Linked DNA regions of Lonchura striata. The protein of the gene in region 2 purifies or fractionates together with the protein of the main gene of each other region. This does not show direct contact. Links are inferred from orthologs where the notes say so. Each region holds a gene or a part of one and is shown on either strand. Other genes may lie near its edges.

Evidence for each region.
Region 1: the proteins of ABI1 (region 2) and NHSL3 purify together in Homo sapiens (affinity purification with mass spectrometry; 3 studies listed by BioGRID and IntAct, with this or other methods). This does not show direct contact. The link is inferred for Lonchura striata from reciprocal best matches to the Homo sapiens genes ABI1 and NHSL3.
Region 3: the proteins of ABI1 (region 2) and EPS8 purify together in Homo sapiens (affinity purification with western blotting; 4 studies listed by BioGRID, with this or other methods). This does not show direct contact. The link is inferred for Lonchura striata from reciprocal best matches to the Homo sapiens genes ABI1 and EPS8.
Region 4: the proteins of ABI1 (region 2) and WASF1 purify together in Homo sapiens (affinity purification with mass spectrometry; 6 studies listed by BioGRID and IntAct, with this or other methods). This does not show direct contact. The link is inferred for Lonchura striata from reciprocal best matches to the Homo sapiens genes ABI1 and WASF1.

What each region holds. Positions count from the first base shown.
Region 1 is NC_134628.1:906,756-914,122, forward strand, and holds the start of NHSL3 (NHS-like protein 3), read right to left. Parts: upstream 3,474-7,367; coding exon 3,269-3,473; intron 1-3,268. UniProt on the Homo sapiens protein: Able to directly activate the TNF-NFkappaB signaling pathway.
Region 2 is NC_134603.1:140,617,225-140,625,503, forward strand, and holds the start of ABI1 (abl interactor 1), read right to left. Parts: upstream 3,284-8,279; 5' UTR 3,168-3,283; coding exon 3,051-3,167; intron 1-3,050. UniProt on the Homo sapiens protein: May act in negative regulation of cell growth and transformation by interacting with nonreceptor tyrosine kinases ABL1 and/or ABL2. May play a role in regulation of EGF-induced Erk pathway activation. Involved in cytoskeletal reorganization and EGFR signaling.
Region 3 is NC_134607.1:9,511,716-9,520,094, reverse strand, and holds the start of EPS8 (epidermal growth factor receptor kinase substrate 8), read right to left. Parts: upstream 3,448-8,379; 5' UTR 3,420-3,447; coding exon of another isoform or gene 3,308-3,419; exon of another isoform or gene 3,257-3,307; intron 1-3,256. Other genes in the region: STRAP (serine-threonine kinase receptor-associated protein), read left to right, coding at 3,308-3,419, 4,493-4,628, 5,357-5,438, 5,690-5,762, 6,399-6,495, 7,379-7,516, 7,890-8,026. UniProt on the Homo sapiens protein: Signaling adapter that controls various cellular protrusions by regulating actin cytoskeleton dynamics and architecture. Depending on its association with other signal transducers, can regulate different processes.
Region 4 is NC_134605.1:69,128,943-69,136,848, reverse strand, and holds the start of WASF1 (actin-binding protein WASF1), read right to left. Parts: upstream 3,388-7,906; 5' UTR 3,387-3,387; coding exon 3,292-3,386; intron 1-3,291.

The DNA.
Region 1 (7,367 bases), on a different chromosome or scaffold from region 2:
AGGGGTGGGAAAAAATTCCCTGTTTTCCACTCCCGGCTGTGCCCCGTTCACAGGACAGCCTCGGGGCAGCGGGGATGAAACAAGGCCACGGCCACACGGGCAGCAGGTCAGAGATCTCTGCCCAGGGACTGTGGGACAGCAGTTCTCCTCTGCTCAGCCAGGGGCATCTCCAGGCTGGGATGAGGCTTCCTCCCACCACCCCAAAACACGGGATGGACATCCTCCTCTGACCCCTCTGCAGCCCCCTGGATCAAACCCCCGGGTTCAGCTCTTGTGTTTCTCTCCCAGGAAGAAGCAGAGAGGCTGGAGCCTGCCCCAGATCCAGGCAGACACTTCCCCCTGCCCTCCCAAAAAGAGATTAGGGAACCTTTCCTCACAGCTCAGCTCTTTGGGCAGCCAGAGATGGCATCGCTGATAGCCACGGGCCCCGGGGGATTGGTCCGAAGGGGAAATGCTCTCATCCTCCCTGCGCCGTGATTTCAGTGCTGAGCAATGCCGGGCAGGCAGATGCTCAGGAATGAGCCCCGATTCGGTGCCCTGCGATGAATTCTGTCTTTCCCACCCCTTGGAGCCATCCTACTCCCCCTCCCCACCGCCGGGACGCTCAGACAACCCTGTCCCAAATCCATGAGCAATCCACGCCCAGGGGGATGAGGAACTGCCTGGTCCAAATCCCCCAGCACCACTGGGACCCAGGGAAAGCTGAGGGCACGCAGAGCCTGCCGCAGCTCTCCCCACTCCCCCTCCCAGTGCTCCCAGCACCGTCAATATTATTGTGCTCTTCCCCTGCCCGGAGTGCTCAGGGTCCCCTGGCGTGTCCCAGGGCGTGGATCCTGTGCCGAGACAAGGATTTGGGGAGCAGGTTGGTTGTCTTTAGGGGCTCCCAGACACCCTAAAGACTTGAAGGTTGCAAAAGCAGCAGAGGGACAGGATGCTGGAGACGAAGGGCTGGAAGAATTCCCAGCTGGTCCCGCTGCACGGATGCTCGTGGGGCCAGCGCAGCCTCCGGCCGGGTCAGAGCCGCGTGTGGCACGGCGATTCCGCCGGCTCCGAGCCTGGAGAACACCCGGGGCGAACGCTCCTTCCTTCCCACAGCATCCAGAGGCATCTGACCCCCCCACCCTGCAGGGAAACGTTGTCCCCATCCCGCGGGGATGGGTGCCGGGGCCGCTGGAGCAGGGAGGGGTTCCTGGCGTGCTCTGCGGGCCGGAGCTGCACGGGGAGGGTGATTCAGGCACGCAGGCAAGCTGCAAGCGCGGCACATCCGCGCTGCTTCTCCCCCAACACCGCGGAGAAGAATTTGGGATGCAGCCCACAGGGGAAGAGTCCCCCGGGCTGGGGCACTGAAGGGCTCCTCCATGCAATGAAAGCTCTCCCGATGGGACAGCAGGGTGGCAGTGCTGTGACAGAGCCCTGGCTGGCACAGCTGCCACAGAGAGGTCCCCAAGCTGTGACCCTGACAGGCCGTGACTTGGCATTTTGAGGGTTTAGCTGGTGAACGGTACAACTTCAGGGAAAAAAAAAAAAAAAAAAGGAAAAAACGGGCTGGCAGAGCTGCTGGGGGCGTTTCTGCTGCCAAGAGGAACATCACATGCTCCGGCACATCTCGTTTTTTCTGCTCAGGTTTCAGTGCTGGGCTGTGGCAGCGGTGTCCACACACGGAGGAACCACCAGCAGCATCCGATGGATCGGCCCAGGAGAAAGCTCAGCTCTTCCCAAGCTTCTTTTCCCTTCCCACGGCCACTCCTGTCCTATCACAGATCCCCGTGTGCTTCTCCAGGCAGCACGCAGCCTTGCGTGCCTGGAAATTCACTCCCTGGAGCAAAGTGAGGAAAAAAGTCCCAGCTGGCAGCGTCCTGCTACGCTCGGGTGCCACGGGAGAGGCCTCTCCCTTGGCAAAAGAGCCAAAACATCCCTGCCAGAGGTGCCCTCAGGGAGGGCAGGGCTGTGACACAGACACTGTCCCCAGCAGCGTGGGGTGGGACAGGCTTTTGGGGTGGGACAGGCTTTTGGGGTGAAACCTTCCCTGTTGGGACATCTGCTACTGCCAAAAAAGCGCTGAGGAGAGGAGCGTGACCAGACAAGCCAGCAGCCATGGCTCTGCCAAAGCTCGCTGGCTGAGCCCTTGGATCCCCAAAACAGGGCTCCAGGGTGGCCAAGAGAGGGGACCCAGGGCAGCTGCCCCTGCAGGATTGTCCTGGTCAGGGTGGCAGGGACATGACCGGGCCGTGCAGGCAGCAGGCACGAGCGGGCCGGGCTGAGACCGTATCTGGGCCAGGAAGGGCCACACCTGGAGCACGCAAACACCCTGCCCAGGAGGAGGAGGAGGAGGAGGAGGAGGAGGAGGTGGCAGCGGCTGGCATCCCTCCAGAATTCCCTCAGCCCCAGTGACCTTCTGACTCAGCGCAGGAGAACCTACCCAGTGAACCAGCACCAGCCCTCGGGGCTGGGTGAGATTGTGCCAGGGACTGCCGGATCCATCCTGCTGCCACCACGGCCACCATGGCCCCTGTCGTCACTGCCACCACCGCTGCCACCTCCTCCCCCTGCTGCCACCACAGCCACCACAGCCCCCGTGGTCACTGCCACCACTGCTGCCATCTCCTCCCCCTGCTGCCACCACGGCCACCACGGCCCCCGTGGCCACTGCCACCACCGCTGCCACCTCCTGCCCCTGCTGCCACCATGGCCAGCAGCTCCACCCCACCTGGCCACCACCATGGCCAGCACCCCTGCCCCTCCTGTGCGCCCTCTTCAGCCACGTCCACGGCCACCACCTCAACTCCTGTTCAGCCACCACGGTGACCCCTCTTTGGCCACCTCCAGGGCCAGCAGCCTGACCCTCCTTGGCTTCCACTGTGACACCTCCTCAGCCACCACCTTGACCTCTCCTTCACCACCTCCATGGCCACCGCTGTGACTCCTCCTTGGCCGCTGCCGCCACCCTGAGCCCTCCACAGCCACCACCTTGTCCCTCCTTGCCCACTGCCTTGGCCACCATTGAGAACACCACCCCAGCACCTCCCTGCCCACTCCCACAGCCACCACTCAACGCTTTGCCACCACACCAAGGCCACCGTGGCCACCGCTGTGACCCCTCCTTAGCCACCACCGTGGCTAAGGGTGGGACAGGATTTTTGGGGCTGAAAAACCACCTCGCCACCTCTTTGAGCAGCTCCCTGAAAATCTCCTCGCCCACCTCCTCTGTGGCCACCACCGTGCCCCCTCCTTAAGTGCCACCGTGGCCACCACCCCGCCCGCTCCTCACCTGCTCCCTCCGTCCCTCCCGAGCCGCTGCCGTCCTTGGGCTGCCGCCGCCGGCCCCGGAGCCAGCTGATCGCCCGGCGCAGCGAGTTCGCCCGGCCCTTCTTCCGCCGGGGGGGAGCCCCGGGAGCGCCCTCCGAGCCGCCGCCGCCGCCGCCCCGCTCCGGCTCCCGCTCGCCGCCCGCCGCAGGTGCAGCCCCGGCGGACATGGCCGCGGCGGGCAGCGCCCCGCAGCGCCCCGCACCGCCGGCAGCCGCTGCCCATAGGGCCGGGCCCGCCCGGCTCGGCTCGGCTCGGCTCCGGCCGCAGCCCCGGCCCCGCTCCGGGCTCCCGCCGAGCGCCCGGCGCCGACGGAAAGTTTCTGTGCGGGGCGGGGCCGGGGCTGCGGGAGCTCCGCCCGCACCGGCGCCCGCCCCCCCGAGCCCGCAGGTGGCCCCGGGGGCGTGGGGACCGGGGACCCTCCCCTTGCTGCCAGCGGGGTCACCCCCGGAGCCGCCCGAGGTGTTCTTCCCGTTCCCCGGTGGGTCCCGGCTTTGTCCCCTCGCTCTCCGCGCGGGGAGGGGGCGGTGCGGGGACAGCGGGGCGCCCTTGGGACCCTCTGCGACCCTCTGGGACCCTCTGGGCCCCGAGGTGCTGAGCACCAGCGGGAGACAGGCGCAGGAAAAGCGGGAAGCACCCGAGCGGGAGCGGAGCGCGGAATTCCAGCAGCGTCATCCCCGGGGCGGCGTCCGGCTCATCCCGGCGGGGCTGGCCCCGGTCCCGGTCCCGGTCCCGGGAGAGAAGCCGGACTCGCAGCCGTGTCCTGCCCTTGCCCTCCCACCCCGCAGCTCCCCCGGTTCCTCACCTGCTGGCCCCGGGGGTGACACTCGCCCTGTGTCACACGCTGCTCCGACTCGGCCACACCTGAGCTGTGCCACGCTGCTGCTCGCTGCGAGTGATCAATCAGCTCCTGAAAACGGAATGGCACCGCGGGAAGGGGAATTCAGCCCCCTGGAGAGGCTCTCCGGGCTCTGCCTGAGGCCGGCAGAGCAGCAGGAGCTGCCTGGGAAAGGATTTCACCACCCGGTACAAGCTCGGGAGCATGACCGCTCCAATCTGATCGAGATTAGGTTTCAGGAAGAAATCCTTCCCTGCGAGGGTGAGGGCCCTGGCACAGGGTGCCCAGAGCAGCCAGGGCTGCCCCTGGATCCCTGGAAGTGCCCAAATCCAGGCTGGACGGGGCTTGGAGCAGCCTGGGACAGTTCCCAGTGGGATTCCAGTTCCCAGCGGGATTCCAGTTCTCAATGGGATTCCAGCTCCCAGTGGGATCCCAGCTCCCAGTGGCATTCCAGTTCCCAGTGGGATTCCAGTTCCCAGTGGGATTCCAGCTCCCAGTGGGATCCCAGCTCCCAGTGGGATTCCAGCTCCCAGTGGGGTTCCAGCTCCCAGTGGGATTCCAGCTCCTGGTGGGATGATTCCAGCTCCCAGTGGGATTCCAGCCCCCAGTGGGATCCCAGCTCCCGGTGGGATGATTCCAGCCCCCAGTGGGATCCCAGCTCCCAGTGGAGGTGTCCCCATGGCAGGGCATTGGAACAAGATGACTTTTAAGCTCCCTTCCAACATGAACCATTCCACGATTCTGTGATCCAGCCGAGAGGGGACAACAGGACACAGGGACTGAGCTGGAAGAGCAGCAGGCCGGCGGCAGGACGCGTGGCAAAGCCAAGGGAAGGATCCCAAGCAGAACTCAGGTGGTTTCTGCTGCATTTCCACGCTCCTGGCTCCCAGGGCTTCGGCTCCCTGCGTTTCCTGCTGCCTCTCTTGCAGCCACATCCTTCCCAACGCTCCCAGGGCCTGGCCGCACGCCCGGAGGAGTTTGCCAGCTGCTGGAAATGGCTGGAAGATTTCTAAAGCAAGAAGCTTCTCCATCTCTCAGGCTTCCCAGCACATCAGCATCTCCCGTGGGATTCGGGCACTGGCTCTTCTATCTTGTGGGCTGAGCAAACCTGAGCTGCTTCCCAATAGCAGCAGTGAGCAGGGATGGGAATTTGGCTCCAAATCCAGGGTGATGCCTGAGGAAAGGCTGGGATTTGCTGGGCTTTTGTGTCTCTGCCTCACATTTTCCCTCCTTCACCCATCTGAACCCAAACTGAAGATTGAAAGGAGCACTGGAAGGAGTTGGGCTGAAATTTCCCGGCACCTCTGGGCCTCTCTGTGGTGCCAGGGAGGTGATTCTTTTCCAGGATGAAGGTTGAGCGTGTCACTGCTCCCTGGGCTTTGTTGAGCTGAGCTGAGCTGCACTGAGGAGATTCTAATCCCCAATTAGGCTGTTTGGGTTGACTTTCTGCTGCCAGCTCTGACTTCCGAGTCATTAGCCTCCCAAAAAAAAAAAAAAATTAAAAAAAAAATCCCATTTTTCATTTTTCATCTCTCCCCTCCTCGTGTGGCAGCAGAACCAGTTTGAAAAATATTTCTGCACAGAGTAATGGAGCATTGTCCAAGTAATGACAGGGAGAGAGGGGGAGAGGATCGGTTACACTGCGGGGACAGAGGGGTGAGGGAAGCACAGGAGGAAGGTGAAGAGGAAGGTTGTCCCAGCCCTAGAAATTCCAGGAGCTCCCCAAAGCACCCCAACACTTCATGAAGGGCCCCAAAAAGCTCCAGACCAGCAGCGTGCGGGGTCCCCAGCTGGGTAAATCATTTCCACCCGCGGGGCCAGGATGATGACAGAGAATCCTGGGGACAGCAGCTCCCACAAAAACTCAGCTCCCACGAGACCCAGGCACAGGGGAGGGGAGGCAGAGACTCTGCCACATCCCCGGGTGAAATGGGGAATCCCTGGGAAGCGAAACCCAGAATAAAAAACCCAAACTGCTGTGGGAATCCAGAGCTTCCCTCTGGCTGCCCTGGGACCCTGGCAGGGGTCAGAACCCCCCTGGACAGAGCCCCCAGAGACACTGGCTGTGATCTCTGTCCATGGAAAAGAGTTTTCAATCTTACAGGATCAATTACCAGCTCTGTGTGTTTGATAGCAGTAATAATTAAGTGTGGCACGGGTGCAAAAGTAAAATTTTAGGATTCTAGATGAGGGGTCCAAAGGGGACAAGCTGGAGGAAATTGGGTGTGCCTTGTCCTTTTTCTCCTTCTTCATGCCCTCCATGTCTCACTGTGGTGTTGGCATTTTTCTGTTGGTTCAGGCTGGGGACACACTGTCCAACGTAGGTGACAGATATTGGCACGTTCTTGTAAATCCAGCCCAGGGAGTTTCTGGTATTGAATGTTTGTCACATCCCACTGAGGGCAGAGCCCCACACGCTGCCCTGCAGGACAGAGCTGGGCAGGGCAGCAGAACATGTGAGAGATCAACAGAATAAACAACCTGGAAACCAGCACAGACCAATTATGGCTTCTGCTTTGGCAGCGGGGCTGAAAGACAGAGAATTTTTGCAATTTCGGAATCATCAATACCACGGATTGGTATCAGGCTCGAGCTGCTGCCAGCCGTGCCAGGGTGCAGCCGCTGCCCCGGGCTGTGCCCATCCATCCCCTGCCCTCATTTCCATCTCCTCGCGGGGCATGGCTGCTCCCTCATTCCTCATTAACGCCTCCGTCGGGACAAGGTCCTCCCGCATCCCTCTGAGCCCCGCGGGTGCCGCTTCTCACCCCAAATTCCTTCCGCCGGAATCGCCTCCTGCTCCCGTGCCTTGCCCCGGGGGATGGAAAAAGCCAGAGCGGAGCCCGGGCTGCGGTGACCCCGCTGGGACACGGCCACTGCTGCTGGTGGTGCTGAGCATCAGCTCAGCTGTAAAAATGGGTTTTTAAAATTGGCACGGGAAAAGGGAGGCACTGATGTCCTCGCTCAGGCGCCCGCCGCGTGGAATGGGATGAAAAAACCAGCATTTTAGGGTCTCTCCCTTCCCATTCTGGAAGGGACAGCTCTGGCACAGCCCAGGAGCATCACCCGTGGCCTGGTGACAGGGACAGGTGGCCACAAGAGGCATTTCCTGCTCCTTTGTGAGCATCCTGAATTTTCCTGGGGAGAGAAAAGCCGGTGGGAATGTCAGCACAGCCTCGGTGCCCTGTGGGATGCCATGGGCACATCAGGGTTGGCACAGGCATGACGG
Region 2 (8,279 bases):
CTTATTTGCTCTGCTTCTCCTGAATTCTTTCCTCTTTCTAACAAATAAACTTCCTAGATAACTAGAATACACATGATCTGGAGGGCAAACTGCTTTACCAGACAGCATTCTGATATAGTCACAGTGTGCCTCAGCAAGAAACTGCTTCCTGCTTTTCTGAGCACAGCAATTTTCAACTTGAGATTCCCAAATGCTGTCATCTTTCCTAAATGCTCCAGTAAAAGGATACTTGCTCTCCACACAGCTACATTCACCATCAGGGAGGTAAGTTCCAGACAGGTGAGTGTTTCCCCCATTTGTCGCTCTTTTTTTTTTTTTTTTTTCCACCCTAAGGAATCTCAAGAGACATTGAATACAAGTTTTCCTTAAGAAATCAGCACGGCTGAAATTTTACCAGAATTATTCTCAGCTTAAGAAAGACAAAACAAAATTTCTGTATTTTCAAATAAATACATATATATAGCTTGAATATAGCAATATCAGTGGCAAGAAATTACTTTCCTGCTTAAGTCAGCAAAGAATATAAACCATAACACAGAGAACATAATTCATTGTCCTATTTCAATCACAATAAATTGTTAGTGCCAGCACTCAGAACAGTCTGACAAACCTGTTTCACCTCAGTGGCACAACTCAGAGTGGGTAACAGCACACAGTAATGTTTACCACTATGAAGCACTTCACTTTTTCCACAGAAAAAAATAAACCACTCCAAATTCAAAGTGGCTGAACTGAACCAGCTACATACAACCAGATAAGAAATGGAGCTACTAGTGAAGTATTTCAACATTCACTTCATGGCCAGGTTCTTTATTCTGGTCTGTCTTTTTTATAAAATGCTCAATCACATTAAACAAACACATAGATTTTGTATTATATGTTTGTTAAGCCTCTTCCTTTCCTTTTCTCCCTTCCCATCCCACCATACTCCTACACCCAAATCTCATAACCCAGTGCCCTGTGTCATACTGCCTAATCCAGCAGTATCCACCACATGCACTGGCAGTATAATCTGTTCAGTAGTCCAACTGGACAGCAGATGGTTTTGCAGCAAGTGCTGATTAAAAAACCCACCTCCATCAAACACAAAAAAATACATAATTTTATCAATACATTTTTACTAAGCAAATGTACAATACATGTAAAATACAAGTGGGGTATATACATTTTCCAAAGCTACTGTACAAGACTGCGTTAGACTTTTAGAATTCCGGCTTCCTTCCTTCTTTTATCTTTGTACACAGCTGTACAAAGATAAAAGAGACCCCATCAATCCCACATCTAGCTGACCTTGATACCTGAGGTGAAAATGAGCTACCAAATTAAAAAAAAAAAAATTAAAAAAAGAAAAAAAGAGGAAAAGGAAAAGCCACCCCAAATGACTGGATGGGAATTTGCTCAAGTGTTGTGTTTATTTGGTTTGCTTGATGAAAGTAAGAAAAGACAAATTTTATGACTGTGAAGAAAACGATGTAGCTGAAGATTCTCTGCACCTTTCTGACATAGGGAAAAGTCAGGAGCAAGAGACACGTCAAAACTTGTGCTGCAATTACCATACTCATGTATTTGTCATATTTCCCATGAGTAAAACCAAATGAACCTCGCCTCTTAGAAGCATTTATATCAGCAGCTTTCTCTGGGTGGAGCAAACAACTCGGAAGCATAAATAGACATTAACTCATACTACCTCATATACCAAAAAAAAAAAAAAACCAAAAAACACAAACCCAAACAAAAAAAAAAAAAACTTGAAAATATGGCTTGTTAGAGCAGTTTTAATTAAAAGATCTCATTAAAAAATCACTTTGTATTATTAAAGATGTGCTTCCATATTTGCTGCTCCGTAACTAAAAACAGTAAGACAGCTTACCAGCAATAATGGATACCAAAGATGTTGGTAACCTATATTAAATACTTATCACAGGTAATCTAGTATTACATTCAACAAGTTCACTCTACAAGCTGTCTAGTTAATAAAGTTTATTTGCCTTTCCCCTTCAAATTTTTTACAGAAAAAAAAAGCTGAGTTTCAGCATCTCTGGATGGTTCTGCATCCAGATCAGTATGACTAAAGACTGAGACTTAGAGTCACGTGATGTAAATCCTGAAAAAAATAATAATAGGAAATTGTGCTTAAAGTAGCTTCAGAAAAATCAGACTTAAAAGAAGTCCAAGAAGCATTGGCAATCTATGGGATGGAAAAAAAAAACCCACCGCCGGTGGAGAAACGCTGGAACCAAAGGAGCCTCTTCCCGCACGAGAGACTCGGTCTGCAATCCCTGTTGTAGGTGCTAGAGCCGGGCGGGCTGCGAGAGGCACAGATTGCCATTTTGAAACACCGCCTCACGCCCGCACGGCGCTGCCAGCCCACGGGCAGCCGCCTGCCCCCGCACGCCGCTCACGGCAGCGCTGCGGCCCCGCAGCACCGCGCCCGCCTCGGCCCCGCCGGGACCCGCACGCCCAGGAGGAGCCGGCGCGGACCCCCGAGCCCGTGATGTCACCCGCGCGGGGCCCTCCGCTCCCCGCGGAGCGCGGCGCGGGGCCGCCCGGCACCCGCGCCCCACGTGCGGCGCACCCGCCCCGGCCACCGCCGCCGCCCCGAGGCCCGTCCGCGGGCCCCGCAGGGAGCCCCGCCGCCGGGAAGCCGGGGGGAAACCCGGGATACCGGGTCGGAGCCGGCCGCACGGAAGGGCTCGGGGGCCCTCGCGCCTCGGTCACCCCCACCCCTGGGAGGTCTCCGGGATGTGACTCATGATAAATAAATACAGGGGGGGAAGGAAAAAAAAAGGAAAAAAAAAAAAAAAGACACACCCTCGGAGCCGGACTGACATAATAACCCCCTCCCTTCCCCTCTGGAGCGGGGGAAGGGAAGCCTGGCCGTTCAGCTGGGAAAGTTGAAAGAAAAGGCAAAGCCGAGGGACCGGCCGCGGGGCGGGAGCCGCGGCGAGGGCAGCCAGGCGCCGCTGCCCCTCGGGCGGCTCCGGCCCCGCCGCCGCACGGAGAGCCGAGCCCCGCCGCCGGCCCCCGGTGCGCTGCCCCGCCGCCCTTACCTGGATGTAGTTGTTTTCGCAGTAGTCGGCGACTCGAGTGAGGTTCTGGTAGCTCTCGAGCAGAGCCCGCTTGCCAGAAGGGATTTCCTCCTCTAGCAACATCTGCAACTCTGCCATTTTCCACCCCTCCGCATCGCTTCCTCTTGCATTAAAGAGACAGCGACAGCGCCGGGCTCGCAACCCGCCTGGTATTGTGGGATTCCTCCTCGCCTCGCTTTCGTGAACGCTCGCTTTCCCCACCCATCCTTCCCCCTCCGAGGGGAGGGGAAAAAAAAAGAAAAAAAAAAAAAAAAACCAAACCAAGAAAAAAGAGGAAAAGCCCGCCCTCGCTGTGCGAAGGCAGCCGGGAGTTGTAGGCAGGGCCGGTCGCATGCGCGGGGCGGCCGCCGCTCGTGGGCACCGCCCGCGGGCCGGAGGGACATGGTGGGGCCCGGAGTGCTCCGGCCTGGCTGGCTGCTGGGCTGGCCTGCTCCCCCGGCTGCTGGGCTGCCCTGCTCCCCCGGCTCCTGTCCTGTCTCCCCCAGAGACGAGGGGAGACAGTGATGTACATCCCCCGCCTCGCTCAGAAAAGCCCCAGCCCCACAGTGCTGCCCAGAGGCAGCGGTTCTGCAGGAGAGGCTGAAAGGGTCTGGGAGGGAAGCACTGCTCTGGTTATCTGGCCATCTGGCAGGCTAAAAATATGGAAGATCGCAGAATCAATTAGGTTGGAAAAGGTCTCTGAGTTCATCGAGTCCAACCCATGACTGAGCACCACCATGTCAACTAGACCACAGCCCGAAATGTAATGTCCAGGGTTTCCTTAAATACCTCCAGGGACAGTGACTCCACTACCTCCCTGGACAGGCCATTCCAAAGATAACAGAAGACTGGTAAGATGTTAGAATGATCATGGTTTGGGGCAACTAGTCCTTTCAAGGGAGTTACCCCCTGAGGGGGAGGGAGAAATACTGAATCCAAGTTACGCAGATTTTAGTCAGGGCCTGCCCAGTATAACTACTAACAGTGATTTCCTGAATTTAGGTTCTTAAGAAGAGCTTAAATATTTGGCTGAGATAAATACAGTATTCCTGCCACTCATTTACCTCAGTTGTTAATCATTGTTCAAGGCCTCATCTGGCTGTCAGCAAAAGTATGGAAGACAAAAGTCCAGTGATAACTTAGTACAATCTTTTTTGCATGTCTTTTTTGTAAGCCAAATCCTGATTCTGCAATCGTGCCAGGAGAGAAGCCAGTAGCAGCAGGTGACTGCTCTGCTGAGATGTCCATGCCTGCTCTTGCAATGAGTAACAGGCCCAGAAAAAGCCATTTCCAAGGTTCCACTGTTCTTGCCATGTGTTGTGTGTCCGCAGTCACAAACACAAACACAGTTAGTCCTTGTGTTTTTTAATGGTTGTCCTAGAGAAATGCACACAGTGGTAAAAAGTCAGCATGTTTCAGAAAAATGCAGTCTCAAGCTCACATTATAGTAAGAGGAGACTGCCTCATTTCTGCAAAATCATGTGACATTCTACATGTTCTCTGTAGTCTGTCTCCTGTGTGAATCACTGTTCTGGTCAGGATACTTTGGTGTATTTATTGCTCTCTCTAAATCAAGGGTAAAAAATAGCTCTCCCTTCACCTCTGTGGTCAGCAAAGTCCAGTATCTCAGCCCAGAACTGTAGAAGCAAGGATGAAAGGTAAGGACCCTGGAAAGGACCATCAGGACTGGGAAACTCTTTGCAACTGGAGTTACAAAATACACTCCTGTCTGGGAACAGACAGGCAGGTACCAAGAAAAGTATTTGAGAGCTCTTTGAGGAGCAGAAGGAGCTGGTACACTTGCAGCACTTGCTGTGGGATAGAAATGCATCTACATTGCTCTCTTCTGATGGTTAATTTACTTGGCAGCTTAGCAAAATTGTTTCCAAAGGGGTTTTAATAGCTCTCTTTTGGGCAGCATGTATGTCCAATAAAACACTTTATTTTGGATTCCTTTTAATGTAAGCTAATTCAGTTTGTTTGTATTGAGATATTGGCAAGCTTTAAATGTGTCCTGGGGCAAGTGTGACCAGAACCCCTGATGCCTCAGGTTTTAGCTTTTATATTTTTCAGATTATGTGCTGCTTTAGTGTGCATTTCTGAGCTTCATATTAGGGGATAGTAAGCTCTCTTCACAGTGTAGGTTGACAAAACAATTTCTTCTCTAGCTGGGGACCAAGGACAAATGATCCAAACTTCAGGCCCAAGAGCATAAATAATGTGGACTGAAGAGAGAAAAACAAGAAGGATGGGACTTCATAAGCTAAAGCTGTAACTGGACAATTAACTTCAATATGCTAATGGACCAGAACTTAAAAAAGTTTGAGACCCTGTGACCTGTCATTTTGTGACCATTTTGGGTTCACCTTGGGTGTAGCTGTTGCTGGGCTCTTGTACTGCCCTAGATGTATCCATTGAGGTCTTCTAATAAATACCTACTTTATTCTTTAACTCCATCTAGTTAGTCTCTGTTCTAGGTGAACCTTCACAAGGCATCACTACTCTTGGGCACTGGCTTCTCCTTGTTTCCAGTATTGACTTATTGTATATATTAATAAAGACTAATTCAATTTCTCTATTCACTTTAGCTGCAAATTGCTTAACACCCATTGGCTTGAATGAATCTTTAATTGCCTACAGATCACAGACTGACTTCATGGAAGCTGTTAACATCCTCAAATGTAGCACAATTGTTGTTGGCTCTTCATAAAATGTTACAGCTGCCCCTCTAAAAGAAATGACAGATGTGTGGGGCCTTGCCCATCAACTTTTTTCAGTATGAGCAAAATGAGTGGCACGTGTTTTGCTAAATGTATTGTGCTTCACTCCCGTGAGCAAGCTTGTCCTGGCAGGACAGGCACTGAGCAGGCACTGCGGGCTCTCCGGGGATGCATCCACCTGGCACAGCAGAGCAGCGGCTCCAGCAGAGCAAAAATGCAAAATGTTCTCACAACTCAAGAAGACCTCGGAGGAGCACATCGAATGTTGCCACCTTGTGACAGCTATGAGGCTCTTCTGCAGCTGCCATGGCGCGGCCAGGCATTGTCCCCATGCCTGCGGGTTAGACTTTGGGTAGATAAACAACCAAACCAGGTCCACTCCTGCAGGACCTGTCATCTGGGTGCCATACAAGCATGGCAGTGCTGCTGTGAGGGCCACACTGTGTAAGATGCACTGGGAATTTTGGTGTGGATATGCCCAACTGATAAGATCAGCAGGCCTTATTAGCTTTTGTCCCATGCTAGTCCTCCTTCTTTCTAAATAACTCTCTGCAGGATCCCTTGAGTGTCTTTGCAGGGTGTTCCTCATGTCTGAGGCTCTTGGTTGGTGCATTGACTCAGGTGCAGTAGATTGAAGCTGGTTCCATGAGTCTGCATGGTGTGCACCAAGTGATTCTAAAGCACCTAAAAGAGTGCAAATCTAGCAGAACCAGTGCTGAGCCACAATCAATAAAGTTTGGGCTTGAGCTGACATTTGCTGAAGATAGTAATGTGCATCTAAACTGCATTCACTGGGGTTTCTTTTCAGAAAATATTTTATTTTGTTGTTCTTTTCATTTTGGTTTATTTTGTTGAGTTTGGGCTTTTTTACTCTGTGACATTTTCTCATTGCACCAGGTATAAACTGCTGATAAGAAAAATAAATTACCTAACTTACAAGATACTTCAAGTGTACAAAAGAGCTGGGAATTAAAATTTTCCTGGCTTGGGCTGCTGGACTGGCAGAGGAAAACATGTAATTATGTCCATCAATCTCCACCTAAACAATCACCCAAATGAGATCCTATCTAGAGTAAAATGTGCTTATATATCTCTCAATGTCTCAACTTTACGTTGAGATTTTCTCCTCCTCAGTGGGGCATGAGATCTCCAGGGGCAATCCTATCTTTCTGGGACAATAGGCCATTTTTGGCTTGGAAAGAAAAATGTGACTATATTCTAAGTGCTGTTTAGAACAGCAGCAAAGTAGCAGTATCACAGCAACTTCTCCTGCACTGTAATTTGTGTAGCTCTGTAACTGTCTGTTCCCTTTCCTTGGCCATAGATTGGCATGTGTCTTTGTTTTTCCCTTGGGAACGAACAGTACTTGCTTCAGTAGTGTTGATTGGAAAATAACCCTTTATTTTTTGTTGGACCATTTCTCTGCTGGATTAATTCCTGATTCGGTGGTTTAGCTGCACAAGCACTTCTGACAGTGCAATGGAAAGGGAGATGAGGGATCTGAGAGGGCAGCTGGAGGCACAGAAGACACAGGGCTGTTCAGATCAGCCACATCAGCTCTGCTGCCAAATGCCAAGTCTCATTTTCTTGTAATAAAATTTTTGTTGATTGCAATGATAGTTACACAAGTATGGCTGTACTAGGACAAGCTTTTATGAATACTTAATATTCTTCAATGTTTTCTTTTCTTGGTACCAAAATTTGCTGTTTTGATATTTCCTTCGCCTGTTTAATAACTGCCCAAGAAGGTGCTTAGCTGCATTGGGTTGTTTTCCTTTGCTTTAGCACAGAGCCTTATTTAAGAACCAGAATAATTACCCATATTGATATTTCAGTTATCATCACAGGTTGTCTGAGTATTGCAGAGATGAATGGGGTTGTTTCTGCATTTTGGAGACAATTTGTCATGCACTCTGCGCTTTTGTGGTCACCTCCGTGTGCCCTTTTTCCCAATTAATATTTTTAAGGTTTTCATCACAGCTGTTAACAGCTGCAGATGCTGCTTCCTGGCTTGCCAGGGAAGCAGGGGTGTTTGGGGCAGGACTGCATCCCTGAGCTGGTCAGAGACCCCAACACAGACCCCTGGCAGTTGCTAGGCAGCCACGAGCTCTGTGCAGCACAGCCAGCACAGCCAGGCATTGCTAGGCAGCCTGAGCTGCTGGGGAGCACAGAAGTAATAAGACTGAAAATTGCAGCTTCAAGAATGCACAAGATAAGAGTGGCAAAAAATAAATAGTTTCACTGTATTTTGACATGACCTTTCTCCTCTAATATATTTTCACTTGCAGGATTTGCCTTCTGTCTCAACCTCATTTTTCATAAAACTCTCTCCTCTTCATCCCTCCTGCATGCTTATCTTCATTCCTCAGCAGTACTCTGGTGTCAGCAATCTTCCTTTTCCGTCACCTCCACTACTCTTTTCTCCATCTGTCCTCTCAGTTGTTCTCCTCCTGTGTTCCACTGGATCCCTTGTTCTTTTGGCCTCTTTAAT
Region 3 (8,379 bases), on a different chromosome or scaffold from region 2:
CAATACCCTGTAGTTCTCCTTGGCCTAGTGGGATGCCTAGATTGTATAGGTTTCCCACATCCATAACTTTTCTCCTTTTCTGACTTTCAGCTACTTACTAGCAAATTTGAAATATTTTTGCCTTTCTCTGCCCATTATGGATTTTGTGTCTTCCCATTCTTCCTGTTTCTCAACTTTGATTTCTAAGCAGGCAATTTAAACTTAATACAAAGTTTTTCTTTATACTGTCCCTTAGGATCATGTTTTTCCACTGAAAAATTTGACAACATCAGTCACCAGGAGAGTTTTTAAAAATATAAACCCAAACAGCATTTCTATCAGGAAGTCACAGCCCTACGGTTAGATAAGACTTTGTAAGATGTAAATGTAGAAGCAATTAAATTTTGTATGGAAAAAATCCAGAAAATCTTAAAGACACGGGAAAGGTCCACCTGGCAACCTGTGGCTCTGAATGGAAAAACTGTTGATCTGTGATACAGTGTCAGTATGCCTGAAAATGAGTCATGAAGTTACAAAATCTTTAGGAGCTACTTCTGAGAAACCTGGGGTGAGAAATAAAATACCAGAAGAATGTGAAACACCGTGCCTATCTTTTAAATAAAAAAAGCTGTGAAAGTCTGCAGTTAGCTCCAGCTTCATTTTTCAGTTAATGATTTAAATACCTTTTCTAGTTGTAAGGCTTAAGAGAAAAAGGAGGTGATTAACTACTAATCATTCTGATTCTAGGTTAAGAGAAACATCACTCCACTCATCTTTGAGTAAGAGCAAACAAGTCATCCTTAGAAGCTTCTGAGGGCAAGTCCAGACAGCACCATCAGCTTGTCTTCAACATAAAAATGCCCAACCAGGCGGGTGCTGCTATTTTTCCCTGAAATCCCCTCATCCTTCAAGGCTTTCCCATCACCTTTCTGGTGATCAGTGAGCCATGAGGGGAGCTGGGCCTGCAGAAAAGGCAGGATTTTGGCAGGAGTCGCTGCTGGTTTAGGAGCCAGCAGGGCACTGAGGGACCATGGCCACCTGTGGAGGGATGGAATGGCAAGGAGGTCGCTGTTCCCTTAGGGAACAGGAGGAGGGGATGAACTGGACAGTAATGAGGTTGCTTTTCCTTTGGGAAGTGGGATGAGGGGCCAGTTCTGTTCAATATATTTATTGATTACATGGATGAGGGGATGGAATCTTTCATTAGTTAATTTGCATATGACACTAAACTGGGATAGTGTGTCAGTCTGTTGGAAGGTAGGAGGGCTCTGCAGAGAGATTTGGAACAGTTGAATGGACAGGCAGAGGATTAAGTTTACTAAATCCAAGTGCCCAGTCCTGCATTTTGGCCACAATAACCTCCTGCAGCGTTATAGGCTGGGGACAGTGTGGCTGGACAGTGCCCAGGCAGGAAGGGACCAGGGGATACTGTTTGACAGCCAGCTGGACATGAGCCAGCAGCATGCCCCTGGTGACCAAGAAGGCCAGGGGCATCCTGGCCTGGATCAGGAATGGTGTGGCCAGCAGGAGCAGGGAGGTCATTCTGCCCCTGTACCTGGCACTGGTAAGGGCATACCTCAAGTGCTGAGTCCAGTTCTGGCCCCTTACTTTGGGAAGGACGTTGAGAGGAGGCAACAAGGCTGGAGAGGGGCTGGGAACACAAACCCTGTGAGGAATAATTGAGGGAGCTGGGGGTGTTCAGCCTGGAGACAAGGAGACTCAGGGGTGACATTATTGCTCTCTACAACTCCCTGAAAGGTGGTTGTAGTCAAGTGGGGTTGGTCTCTTTCTCCAAGCAGCACTGACAGAACCAGAGGACACAGTCTCAAGCTGCACCAAGGGAAATACAGGTTGGATATTTGGAAAAAGTTTTTCACATAAAGAGAGATAAAGTTCTGGAATGGCCTGCCCAGGGAGGTGGTGGAGTCACCGTCACTGGATGTGTTTAAAAACAGATTGGATGTGGCACTTGGTGCCATGGTTTAGTTGAGGTATTGGGGCTGGGTTGGATTTGATATCTTTAAGATCTCTTCCAACCTGGTCATTCTGCGAAATCTGTGGAAGGAACAAGATGTCTTTACCAACAAACTGTGGGCCTGATGGTAGACAAGGCCAGATACTGAGAGGTGAAAGAAGCAATGCGGGGGGGGAAACATAAATTTCACTAATCGACAGTTACTCACTCAAGCCTGAGCTAAACCTCTGGATTTAGAGAAAAAGAACACAAGGTAAAAAGAAAAGGGGGGCCTACATATTAGAAAGGGGTTTGTATTAAGAGATTTGGGAAGTCTGTACTTCTCAAGTACCTCAGAAAATGGGGGAAGAGAGAGGGAAATACAGCCTGGAAATTAGGATAAAAAGGAGGCTGCGTCCTCTAACAGTTTGAGAGACCTCATGGGAAACGCCCATGACCTCTCCCTTTATTCGAATAAAGTTACAGGACTCCTCTGTCTCCTCTTTGGACATAAACCTGTGGCGTATGTGGATTAATCTTCCTGACAGGACGAACGGGAGGTGATGAGGTCGCTATTCCCTCGGGAAGCGGGATGGTGGATGAACGGGACGGGAATGTGGCCGCTGCTCTCTGAAGGAGCGGGATGAGGGGATTAACGAGACGAAGAGCTCGCTGCTCCCTCAAGGAGCGGGATGGTGGCTGAACGGGATAGAGAGGAGCTAGCTAACTCCCTCATGGAGCGGGATGAGGGATGCAAAGGACGGCGAGGACCCCGCTGTTCCCTCAGGGAGCAGGATGAGGGATGAACGGGACAGCGAAGAGCTCGCTGTTCCCTCATGGAGAGGGATGGTGGCTGAATGGGAATGGGATGTCGCCGCTGCTCCCTCAGGGAGCGGGATGAGGGATAAACGGGACGGGGACGAGCCCGCTGCTTCCTCAGGAACCGGGGTGGTGGCTGAAGGGGACAACGAGGAGCTCGCTAATTCCCTCATGGAGCGGGATGAGGGATGGCCGGGACGAGGACGAGCCCGCTCTTCCCTCACAGAGGGGATGAGGGGTGGCCGGGACGCTGATAACCTAGCCGCTCCCTCACAGAGGGAATGAGGGATGGCCGGGACGCTGATAACCCAGCCGCTCCCTCACGGAGGGGATGAGGGACTGCCGGGACAGAAAGGACCCCACCGCTCCCTCACGGAGGGGACGAGCGGGGCAGCGCAGACCCGTCCCCCCGTCGGGGCGGTGCCGCGGCGGCCGCGCCCCCGGGCGTGACGCGCGTCCGGCGGGAAGCGCTTCCTGCCCGTCACTTCCCCCGCCGCCGCCGCCGCTCCCGCCGGGCCGCCGCACTCGTGCCCTGCCCAGGCCCCCGCCGCCGCCATGGCCATGAGGCAGACCCCGCTCACCTGCTCCGGCCACACGCGGCCCGTGGTGGACCTGGCCTTCAGCGGCGTCACCCCCTACGGATATTTCCTCATCAGCGCCTGCAAGGGTGAGCGGGACGGGCCGCTTTGTCCGGGATCCCCCGCCCCGGAGGTGGGCGTGGGGGAGCCCCGCCGCTCGGAGGTCGCGCATCGCCGTCCCCACGGGTGGCGGTGGGGCGGGAGGGGTGTCCTGGCCGCTCAGGGTGGTGGCAGCGCCTCAGCGAGCTGTGGAATGACGAAGGGAGCGGATAGCCGGTGTTCTGTGCTGGCGCTTCATTGCCGGGCTAGCCGGGGTGTGGGAGCCCGCATGCGCCCGGCTGGCATCCCGGCTGGCATCCCGGCTGGGATCCCGGCTGGCATCCCGGCTGGGATCCCGGCTGTTGCGGGGTGGGAGTGCTCCAGAACAGTTCGGTTGTAAAACTTCTCCTTCTACCCGCTGTGCACACGGGCTGCGGATTTGAAGCGAGCTCCGGTTTGACCAGGGCAGCTGCTGGACACGGCATGATGAGAGCTCTTTGCTCACTGTGGGAATAGCATTTCATTTTCGTGCATGTATATTTTAATCTTTGACATGCATAAGTTTTAAAGGGCATTCCTTTTCTGCCTTGAAGTGCTTCCAGGTCGGCTTTACGTCTTGTGTGAACAACTCTTTGATAGCCTTGTAGAAAAAAACTGATGATAGGAAAGGCTTTCTATTAGTACTTCATTCATGTATCAATGTATGTTTTAATCATATCTCATTGCAACCATGACACTTGTTTCTACATACTGATGACTTGATAATATTGTTCCAGTGTAAAAATAAAAGACCAAACCAAATCTGCCCTGCCTGAAGAAAACTTTAGTAAAAATAAAACTTGAATTAAACATTTCTACTTTCCTTCTATCTTAAGAAAAAGTTAGAGTTTTACCAGGAAGCTCTTAATTCCACATGCAGTAGCATTTGAATAGTGGCACAGTTTAGATGCATGCAGCAAGTACGACTGCACATCTAAACTCTACAGCTGAACCCCTCTGCAAAGAGTGGCTTTGTAAAGTATGGGGCATTTCCACATGCTGATGCAAGGGAGTATTTTTAGTTTTGAAAAACTGCTTCCTTCTTTTGCCACGTTACCTGAATACTGGTTTTGTTTCTATGAAGATGGCAAGCCTATGCTGCGTCAGGGGGACACGGGAGACTGGATTGGCACATTTCTGGGTCATAAAGGTGCTGTGTGGGGTGCCACCCTGAACACGGATGCCACGAAAGCAGCTACAGCAGCAGCAGATTTCACAGCGTAAGTGATGGACTGTCTTCACGGGCTGTATTTTGGTTTTTATTCTGTAGCTCTTTGGTGGCAACTTAGCTGTACTAAATTACTGGTTCATTTGTTTCTCTTTGGTTAGTCAATTAAAACCTAAATTTGTACATTCTTGAAAGTAGCTACAGTTAATTGTGTCATGATGAACAACTGTGATTGCTTCTTGATGTGCTGAATTATCATACTGGTTTACTTTTACTTAACTTTTCTGTGAATCTCTAATCTGTGGCACTGTAGTTATAGCAGAGTTGAGAGGGGGATTTTTATTTTTCATCTAGCAGTTAGCCTCTTTTTATTACATTAAACTTCTAGTGAATTAGTCCTTCAATGTTTTTTGTTGTTTGTGCTGTATTTTGCAGTATTAAGGAATATTTTGCAAGTTGAATCTTGTTAGTACAGGGTAAATTCTATTAATGAACTTGCAGAGAAGAGCCACCTTTGTCTTCAAACTAAAATGTTAATAAGTTTGCAGGGTTCTGAAGAAGAGCATAACGGAAAGTGGTGGGATAGTACCAAAAAAAGCTCTAGTAAAAATATTTAAAATACTCTTATTGACTAACTAGGTTGCAACTTAAAAGAATGTAATATTTTAGGATAAAATATTGTGATGGTGTCAGGAAAGATTGCTTACAAATTCATGTGACTGTCCAGGTTGATTTTGTCCTGATGTTTCTAAAATATGAATATTTCCTCTTGCTGTTTAGCAAAGTGTGGGATGCTGTGTCAGGCGATGAACTAATCACACTTGCTCACAAACACATTGTCAAAAGTGTGGATTTTACACAGGTATGAGGAACCTTTATACCTTATTCACCAGGGAAATAAGCTCTTGAGCATGTTTTGTTATTAATTACTTTTTTGTTGTAAATCTTAACAGCGAAATAATCTAAAATACTGCTGCTCATTTTTAGGATTGTAGGGTTAATGTAGCAAGTGTCTTAGAGGCTGTCTGAGAGAAAAAGCTGTGATTTTAAATCACAGACAAAGGCTGTATTTTGATTCAAAGTAGAGTTGACTCTCTATAACTTCTGTTTCAGGATAGCAATTACCTGTTAACAGGTGGACAAGATAAGCTCTTGCGTATCTATGACTTGAGCAAGCCAGAAGCAGGTGAGTCTGCTTTTAAAACTGACTCTTGAGGGCTTTATTGAGTTAAATAAAAGTTCTGAAATTAAGGAGCTACTTTCTGCTAAGAACAATGTTGAGGATTGGTTTACAAATGTAATGTCTATAAGGTTTTGGTATATAAGGGTCCCAGAATTGCTTGGGTTGGAGATCACCTGGTTCCAAACTCTCTTCTCTGGATGCTGGTTGATTAAAGCCCCATCCAGCCTGGTCTTGCACACTTCCAGGAATGAGACATCAAGCAGAGCGTGTTTTAGTTCAGTGCAGACACATTTAAATTGATCTAATTAATTAAAATTTAGTCATCGGAGAGAAAAAATGACTCCACATATTTAAGTGTGTTTAAATTTGTGTTGATGCTAACCTATTGATGGTTGTTAGGAAGCCAGAGAAAATTGATGTTCACCTAGTGAAGTTTTTGAAAGCTAGGCAGGCAATCAGGTACTCAGTTTGCATTTATCCTGTTCCTGGAATAAGATCTGCAAGTAAAATCATAAGTGCTTGAAGTAATTCTACAGTGTCTAGTAGATGGAAATCAGTGTAGCTTAAGGAAGCCCCCAACTGCTGCATGGCGTTATTTAATCTTATTACATGTATTAAAATATTTGGCTTTCTTTTAAGAACCTGATGTTGTCAGTGGACATACTTCTGGCATTAAAAAGGCCTTATGGAGCAGTGATGACAAACAGATTCTTTCAGCTGATGATAAAACTGTCCGGTAAGAAAAAGTAACTTTGAGTTTTCTGTATTGTCATGCTCTGTGTGGGGATGAAGTCATGTTATTTTGGTGAAGGATGAGTAACACACGTTACCTGATCCTAGATTATTGTAGCTGCATGCCTGATACAGCTCTGTTCTGCTGTTAGAGATCATTTAGTTCTAATTTCCCCATAAATGTGTGCTCCTCCTAGATGTGTTCTCCCTGATAAGAAGAGGTAGTCTTTGATAACTGCATAGAATAAATGTATGCCTTTTGTAATCCTGAAGAAGATGAATTTATAGATGAGGTCTCTTGCATACACACTGTCCTGAGATATTGATGCTTTGTCTTCTTCAGTTTCCTGGTGTTAAAGATAGGCAAGAGCCTATTCCTGTTTGTTTTCCTCCAAATTGTAGGAATAGAAATGCAGCAGTCAGCTAATGAATAAAGATTTTTATTTGTCACAGCAGCACAGCTTAATTTCTGTTTAGATGCTTCTTGCACTGCTAGATATAAAACTATATTATCCTCAGTGAACCTCTGTAAATTTGGATTAGTATCTCTTTGTCTTTTGAAGTAAAAAGAGAGTAGAATCTTCAAGCATTGCTTAGAAGACTTAAATCAATATTTTTAATCTCCAGGAGAATCACTGAGTAGTTAAATGGTGTGTTTATACCATTTAATGTTGTGGCATTAAGCTGCAAAGGTATAAGTATTTTAAAAAGTGGCCCAGGTGAGGATGCAGGTAAAGCCACTGAAGAGCTGAAGTACCTGTGGAATCAAACCACATTCCTTGATGGGTGCCTGTTTTGATGCAGGTCTTGCCATGGATATGAGGTGGAAATTGTTTGATTTGCAGAAGTCTGAGAGTCTTTTTTTTCCCTTTTTGTTTTATTTTAAGCCTCTGGGACCGGAGTACCATGACTGAGGTGAAGTCACTAAATGTGGCAATGTCAGTGAGCAGCATGGAGTATGTTCCAGAAGGACAGATACTGGTGATAACCTATGGGAAGACTATTGCTTTTCATAGTGCAGAAACGTGAGTCCACAACTTCCAGTTTTCACAGGTGGAGTAATGGGATTCTTGTGGGTAAAAACTGGCTGTACAAGGCCAGAGTCACCAAGTTGTCAAGACTGGCATCTCAGTGATGTTTCAAGAAAGGAAGTTATCTGCTTAAACATATTCCAGAAAGTAGTTCTGTATGTGTGATCTTTTGTTTTGCTTATTCTAAACTCATTTCTAACTTGACAAGCATGATTTGCAAGTATCAAAACTTGTTTCAAAAACTCTGTGGGGTTGTATTTTATTTCTGGGAAAAGCAGTTGAGATTAGTAGAATCACAGTTTCTTTGCTCTCAGTTTTTTTTTTTTTTTTGTTGTATTAGCTTCATTAACAAACTTTTCTCCCTCAGTCTAGAGCAGATTAAATCATTTGAAGCACCTGCTACAATCAATTCTGCATCTCTTCACCCTGCGAAAGAATGTTTGGTTGCAGGTGGTGAAGATTTTAAACTCTATAAATATGACTATAATACAGGAGAAGAATTAGGTATGTTTGTGTCTTATAATCATAAAGGAATTCTGAAATAGATATTAAAAAAAAAAATGACCAGTAAATGAAACTGTTGTATTCAAATGAGATCTTAGCATAGCATGCTGTACAAGAGGATGATGAAAAGGTATATAATCACGTAAATGTTTTTTGCTATCTCAGTATACCTAATATTCTAGAACTAATTAAAACATCCATTCAACAATTCTGCATCCATTTAAAAAAAATTCTCATTCTGTATTGCTATAATAGCTGTATGCTAAATTGTCATACTGTTCATTAGGTATGTCAGTTAGGAGATTTTATGAAAAATATGATGTGTTGGCCTAGTTTAAAAAAAAGCATATATT
Region 4 (7,906 bases), on a different chromosome or scaffold from region 2:
GCTACTACCATCCAACCAATTTTCTCTCAGGTGTGTATCACAAGACTACAGTCTCTCCCTATGCCTGTATACATCTGCACACTCATCTTTAAAGAACACAAAAAATATTTGAAAATCAATTTGGATTTGATCACAGACACAGACTACAGCCACATCTACTTCCTTGTCAAAATTTAAAAGTTTAATATTTATTCAGCTAAACAAATTAAAAAAGGGCAATAATTTTTTACTCTGGAAAAGAAAAAACTATATTTTAAGCCCTATGTAGCTTGTGACTACCATGAATTAATATCATCAAAGTGAAGGTAATTTTGGCAAGCTATGAGTGGAAAGAAATGGAGGGATTAATAATTTGTATGCTGGCTTTTAAGAGCTTTATCTCTGATAAATTAACTTTTCAAGAAAATCTTAAATAGCCACTGTCACTGGCTCTGATGATGGCAGTGTCAGCAGAGTTCTCAGTGTGGGCAACAGTGCAAAATACGACTCCCCAGTAGCAATGCAACAAGCACAACCTCATTAACAGGAACAGCAGTGATATTCCAGAGGAGAAAGTTGACATATCTGTTCATAATTACAGGGGTTACCTGAAGGTTGAGAGGGAACACCAGCATATTTTCAGCGAGTGAAGCTGCAATCTGGGTCAAGTCAATGAGCTGTGTCACAAAACACACCATCGTAGTGGGCAGCAACCACTCCCCACCCTGTGAGTGCAGCCCTCAGGGCTTGCACACCATTTCCCATTCTGCTGGGGAAAATCATTTACCTTTCCCCACTACCTACAACCCACTCTTCGGGCTTTCCTCAGTGTCCCCACTCGTCTGGAATTCCTGCCAACTGTGTGTTGTTCAGGCTGCCTCTGGCCCCTTTTGTCCCAGTGTGCAGGTGGGAGAGGTTGTCACAATCATTTATACATTCTCCTCTCCTCTCCTCTCCTCTCCTCTCCTCTCCTCTCCTCTCCTCTCCTCTCCTCTCCTCTCCTCTCCTCTCCTCTCCTCTCCTCCCCTCCCCTCCCCTCCCCTCCCCTCCCCTCCCCTCCCCTCTCACCCTCATGAAAAATTTCACTCTGATCACATGTACAGAGCAAAAGCTTAAGGTATCCTAAATACAAGGAGAGAATATTCAGGTCAATATTGGTTTCTTTTTCCCAATACAAGTGCAAAACGCAATGGGGTGAAATAAACGGCATGTGGATTTTGCAAATCTCGTACCTATTGTTAAGCAGGATTCCTATTCATGAAATGGAATTCACAAACAACTCAGAGTTGAAACAGCTCACTAACTGTGGCTTTTCAAGACAGATCCTTTTTACAAGGGTAAACTCAGCTTGATTTCACATAACTGAAGTTTTTTCCTTTGTTTTCAACTATGATTTTCCAGAATATAAACAAGTATCTACTGATTTGTCAATTTATTAAGCATCCAATGCTACTTCCTTTATTTTCCACTACCTTCCCAACAGCTTCCATCTTACTATGGTGTCTTTTGAGTCATTCATGTGAAAAAAGAAATCCCAGCCACCATTATTGCAGTTGTCTCCCAATAACTGTAAAAATATCTCTGTTCATCTTAATAAATAAGTTATTTAAATCAAAATGGAAAAATTAAAAAAAAAAACAAAAACAAATCAGGTTTAACACTACCTACTCTGAACAGCAGGACTGCTGGGGTCAATAACGCACTAAGCCAGTTACACTTCTGGCTTACCAACAAGATTCAATGAACAAAATTAGATGTAACACTGTTTAGCATGTCTACAGCAAGAAACATTTAGACTTACAAATTTCCCTCACATTAGGTATGTTAAGCAAAAATAGAAATAAGAAAATTATAATCCACATTTTTGTATAACATCTTAATTCCAAAATGCATATAACATAAAAAACACAGAATACACAAAGACTAAAATTTCTGATGAAAAAACTCTCTATGGTCTATTAAAAATTAAAATACACCCTTAAGAATTTCCAGATGTTAGATGTGAATTAATTGGTGTTTAGGCTTGGTTTTCGTTATAATTCTACTTCTTAGTATCTTGAAACTAAAACTTTTGTTACAGGTATGATGACCCAATCTTTTAATGACCTGTTTTATTTTAAAGTTACAAACCAGTAAATAACCAGAAACCAGATAGAATAGAATTGTATTCTTCAAATCCAAACCCTAAAGGCACAAAATACTAATTATCAATTTCTTTCCTTCTATATAGCACTAAATTACAGTGAAGACTTATAAAATAAATCTTGTGAATTGTTCCCAGAAAAGATGAGAATCATTATACCCCAACCAGCAAAAATTGCAATGATATTTTACAATAAATTAAAAAAAAATAAATTAAACAAGTGTATCCATGTATTAATGGAGAAATATTTAAGTCATATGGAACCACATGTCACTTCATTGTTAAGATATTAATCAAGAAAAAATAGTGACTTCGTGATCTTGTATTTCTATTAAGCTTTCTGAAGAAGTTAATTTAAAAATAAAGAGCAGATGTACAATATATTTGCATAACATACATGTACAGACACATATGGCTACCTCGAAATAGAAGTATTTTAAATTGTCATATGTAAAATTAGAAAAAGAGCTGCAAAATTTCTGGTCAGCATTACTAAATATTATTCAGAAGTCTGCACTCATTAATTTTCTCCTAGTGAGCTCCTGTCAGGTCATTTGATTAATAACAATTTTGGAAGTATCCAGGGTTCTAATTTAGGTACAGCCAAGAATGCTTAAATTAATTTTTGATTACAAGTTTTTCTCTTTTCCCCAAAGGCTAAAAATGTATTAATGCATAACATAGTATGGAACTTGAAATTGCTTTTTGAGACCTATGTTTTATCTGATGACATTTTTTCTCTCTGCATTAATCTAGTCTTCCTGTTAACAGTTTCTAGGTATAGTTTATAACACAAAAGCCCTAAGATGGATTGCAACAAAAGATCTTTATTATAGACTTGACAGAGACAGATAACTAATCCAGTATTAATTTAAAATCAGAACCTTAGTACCAGAACTAAAGGTACCTTCTCTGTGGTTTGAACATGCTACCTTTGAAAATTTTCTACAATTTTCCTTGAAAATAAATATTCCATACATAAACAGTTACCTCTGTTACATAGTCCTTTGCCAATCCAGGACAAGACCTATTACAAACACTCGTAAATTTTAAACAATCTTACAAAATCTACCAAATGCACATAAAAATCTATGCCAATACACAACAACGTGCTTTTGAACGGACAATATTTTGTGGCAGCAAATGATAAATATTTAAAGGAATGGTACCTGAAGTGCCTGGCTGCCAAGCCAAGCAGCCTGGTGGGTACCGGGGGGATGAGGTGTTGCAGCCTGGCCACGGCGCTCCAGGGCTGCGCTCCCATCGGCACGGGCCGGACAACTTGCACAGCTCCCCACTCGCAGGGAGCCCCAGGCTGGGGCTCTGCTATCGCAGCCAGCACCTCCCACGCTGCCCCTTCCACACAGGCTGGCTCTTGCACCCAGGCATTAGAATTCAGCACACAGTGCCCTGCCCTAACAACAGGGCTGTCCTTACAAAGGAAACACAGGCATGCTCCCAAACTGCCCTTTTTCTCCAGACACAAGTAGAGAACCCCCTGAAGGCAAGTGATTAGGAAATAATTGTTCCTTTGGTACCAAGCTACAACGGGTAAATATTAAATTATGATGTGCCAAAAATGAAAGAAACGAGTTGCTGTGCATTGATGAGGAAAGGAAGGAAGGGGAATACAAGAGTCTGGGCATTGTGTTGCTATTACTGATGAATCTGAGAAAGGAATTGCATATTAATCAAATAATAAATGATGTTGGGAATCTACAGTAGTAATTAGGCCAATGTGCAGAAGGCTGTGACTAAGAAACATCACACAATGAAGGCGCTACTTAGGAAGTTCCTGTATTTAATTCAGCAGTGCTACACACTATATTAACTAGTACTCCCTTATTAAACTTAGTTACAGGTGTCAACAATGACTATTGGCAGCTTTTCATGCCTCAAAACATTAGAGATTTGAAGAAGTGGTGTTAGCACTGCAAGAGCCACGAAGGAGTCGTGTATTTAAGAATGAAACCTTCCCTGCACTTTATGCTACGACACCAAGTGCCTAAATGCATTTTATGCTTAGATACCTAACACACAAATGACAGATTATTTGGTTTGATTTTCTTTTTCACAGTTTTAAAGAAAGAATTAAGATATACCAGCTACCAAGTGGGATGTAAAAATGTGTAATAATCATCTTATTACTACTAGCTGAGCTTCTCTGTAGATTAATTTCCCCCTCTTGTGAACAATGAAATTCCTGAGAAGAGGATTTGTTGCAAAAAATGTCAATGCAGAAAAACATATTTCCCTGTCTACTGCCGTTTACGTTACTTAACGTTTGAAGAGCCATGCTGCAGAAAAAAGGTATTAACATCTACAGAGAAATTGTTTGCTTTTGAACTGAAATATTATTAAATATTTCACAGCCCAAAAACACTGATGATGATTTAATAATGATTTTCATTATTATAATATATAAAATATAAAAAACCGACTATTTCAATAATGATTTATACTGTGGCAGGCTAGATCATTACATAATTCACCTGGTGTAACAACAAAAGTTATTACACCAGATGAAGTGAGTTAAAGACTTGCTAAGCTAAAGACTAGAGCACTCAGATGTGCCTGTTTTCAGATGTGCCTGTTTTCTACACAGTAGGTAGTGTCATTTGGGACAATAAGTTTTCCATTCAAATATCATCATTTGAAATAAGGTATTTCCAGTAATTTCTTGGGTAACCTCTTACAACCAGCTACACACCACACATGAAAATGTGTCCATTCCCCCTCTTTCTCTGAGCTTTGTTTCCCTATACTTTCAGATTACATACATTAATTATTATTTCTCATTGTTTGTAACATTTAGGTATTTAGAGATGCCACACACTTTCTGTGCTATGAATTCTACTAAGTCATAAATTTCTGTTCTTACTTAGCAGAAAAAAAATAAAATTGAAGGATCCAGATGAGGACCATGAGGTGGATCACAGGGCTGGAGCACCTCTCCTGTGGAGACAGGCTGAGAGTTGGGTTGCTCACTCTGGAGGGAGAGCTCCAAGGAGATCCTACAACACTTTCCAGTACCTAAAGGTGGCTGCAAGAGAGCTGGAGAGGGACTTTCTACAAGGGCACGTAGTGATAGAAGAAGGGAGGATGGCTTTAAATTGAAAGAGGTATAATTAAATAGATATTTAATGTTTAGATTAGACATTAGGAAGAAATTCTTCACTGTGAGGGTGGTGAGGCACTGGGACAGGTTGCCCAGAGAAGCTATGGATGCCCTATCCCTGTAAGTCTTCAAGAGCAGGTTGGATGTGGCTCCAAGAAACATGGCCTAGGGGAAGGTCTGAAACTAGGCTATCTTTAGAGGTCTTCTCCGGTACAAATCATCTTATGTTCTGCGAATACTTTTAATTATGACATCATTTGTTGCTATTGCCTACTCTAAATTTGCAACTGCATAAATTCAATCTTGCAAATTCTTTTTTCACCGAATTAAGTTTCTTGTTTGGATGTCCTTTGCAGGTCTGAGCTCCAGACTCAAACTCCTGGTCCTTTAAGTAGCTATTCTGGAATGAAATGAGATTCTTTACAGGATGACATTTAGAACTTGCAACAGGAAGTTTTTTCCTATTAGCCTGATTTATATGACTTCCAGTAGATAAATACATTTTTACACAAAATCAAGGAAACTAGTCATGTGAATATTTATTAAGAAGAAATGTGAGCTATTTTCCCTTCTGTCATAACACCGATGAAATATTATATAAAAAAATCAGTATACATTCAGAAAATTTTTGTAGCAAGTAGGGATTACATGCATGAAGGTTTTTAAATGTGCTGTATTTTAATAAATTAATTTTAATATTCCATTGTTTCTGCAAGCCAAAATTTAAACACTTTAAAATATCTCATAAGGAAAAACTCATTTGCTAGACAAAATTAGATTTCTTTGTAATTCTGTAAGAAGCATTTAAAGTCCTCATATTTACATAAGTATTTTCCCCTAAACTTAAATGCTCAAGTTAATTATAGCCAGCATTTATTTTCACTGTCCATGCCTGAGTTTGAGCAATATTCTTAATATGAAATGAATAAATATTGGTGAGAAAACTAATTTTTTTGTGAAGATTAGAACTAATTAAAGCTAGTCCTCTCAAGGCGTTTGTGTCATGGTTGATTGTGAGCTTTAACTAAAGCTATTCCATAATTGGGATATCGGTAGAATGCCTTCCCTCTCTGGTTTCCTCTGGCTATTTACATGTAAACTAACACTGTTACCTTTCCATTGCCCGTAATATTTGCAAAGACATGCATTTTAACAATATGTACAGGAGCTCAACAACGTTTCAAATATTTTATTCCTATGACCTTTCTCTTAAATTTGACAGTCATTTAAAAATATTGAGATGAAACAGGAATCAGAAAAACAGACAAAGAATGACTGCATTCACCTTCTTTTCTTGACTCCAAGTTTGGAAACTTGATTAAAAAAAAATTTAAGTTGGTTTTGTGCTATGCATCAATCATTATTTAAAGCTAGCTTAAATAACTGAAGGCACAAACATGAAAGAAGAACATTTTGAAATACACACATCTTTGTACTTTATGCTTGGAAATACAAAATACATGCAAATGAAAACTACAGTCTGCAAACTGGAGATGCCATTTCAGTTTCAAGCAGAGAGAAATTAGGCCCATTTGGAAGCTTTTCAAGGGAACTTCACTGGGTCAGGAGAGTGTGTTCAATTGTGCACTCACCTTACATCAGAACTTCTTAATAGAGAGACAGTAAAGGTCCACCTTCATGGTTTATGGCATCAACAGGATTAAGTCACTATGAGCAAAAAACCTGCAGGTACATATTTATCAAAGAAAAGAAGGTGTTCTCAATCTGGAGGGAAAACACCCTCAGGCCCATTACACGTGACAATCATAGCACCTTCTATCATAGGGGAAACACTGACTTAACACAGATCCCTGTTGGCTCCTCTGAGGTAGTCAAGAGACCACATAGAGGAAAAGAAGGTAAATCTGTTAATTCTTTATATAATACAGCAAAAAGATTAGCCCAGCCAGCCACAAGGAAGGGCAGATCTAATAAGGGAGTTAATAAAGTTAGCTCTTTCTCTCTTAACAAATATTTAGCAGAAAGTAGATAGTGAGAGAATAGGGATGTAAAATGAGATTATCTTTAGCTGTCTCTACAGGGAGCTCTGAAAAGATAGCTTGGAATTTTTAGACTTTGAACTAGTACATATAATTATGAAGTAATAAAGATGCCTCAAAGGTAGATAATGTAAGAACTCAATAATTTTAGTAATTCCTTTTGCAATTAAGATATGCTAACTGTAAAAATTCAGAGAATTTAGGACACAGTATTAGACCAGAACTGTATAAAATACTACTTATCAAATATTGGTGTCATCAAAATACTGGTTTCAAGCATAGGAAAAGATAGGAAATGGACGTGTCTGTGAAGGCACCAACAGTTGCTTCAGCTTCCAACTGCTCTGACGACAGCAGCTGGAAATCATCATAGCCAGCTCAATGCTGGAGTTTCCACAGAATGCCCAGAAATCACAAGTGCCTAAAAAGAGCCAACCATTTCACTCACTTTTTTTAGCTTTTTTTAAACCAAGGACATACAGCACAAGCCGGAAATCAAAATGGCCTCAATGGGCATCAGGTTAACCCTATCTACCCTCTTTGAAGCACAGGCACCAAAGGTCCGATGATTCTTGCTTCCTGAACAACAGCCTGATGTTTGAAGAACTCCCTCGAGAAATGGAAAGACTGACTAAAGGATACACACAAGATTAAGAGGAATGAATT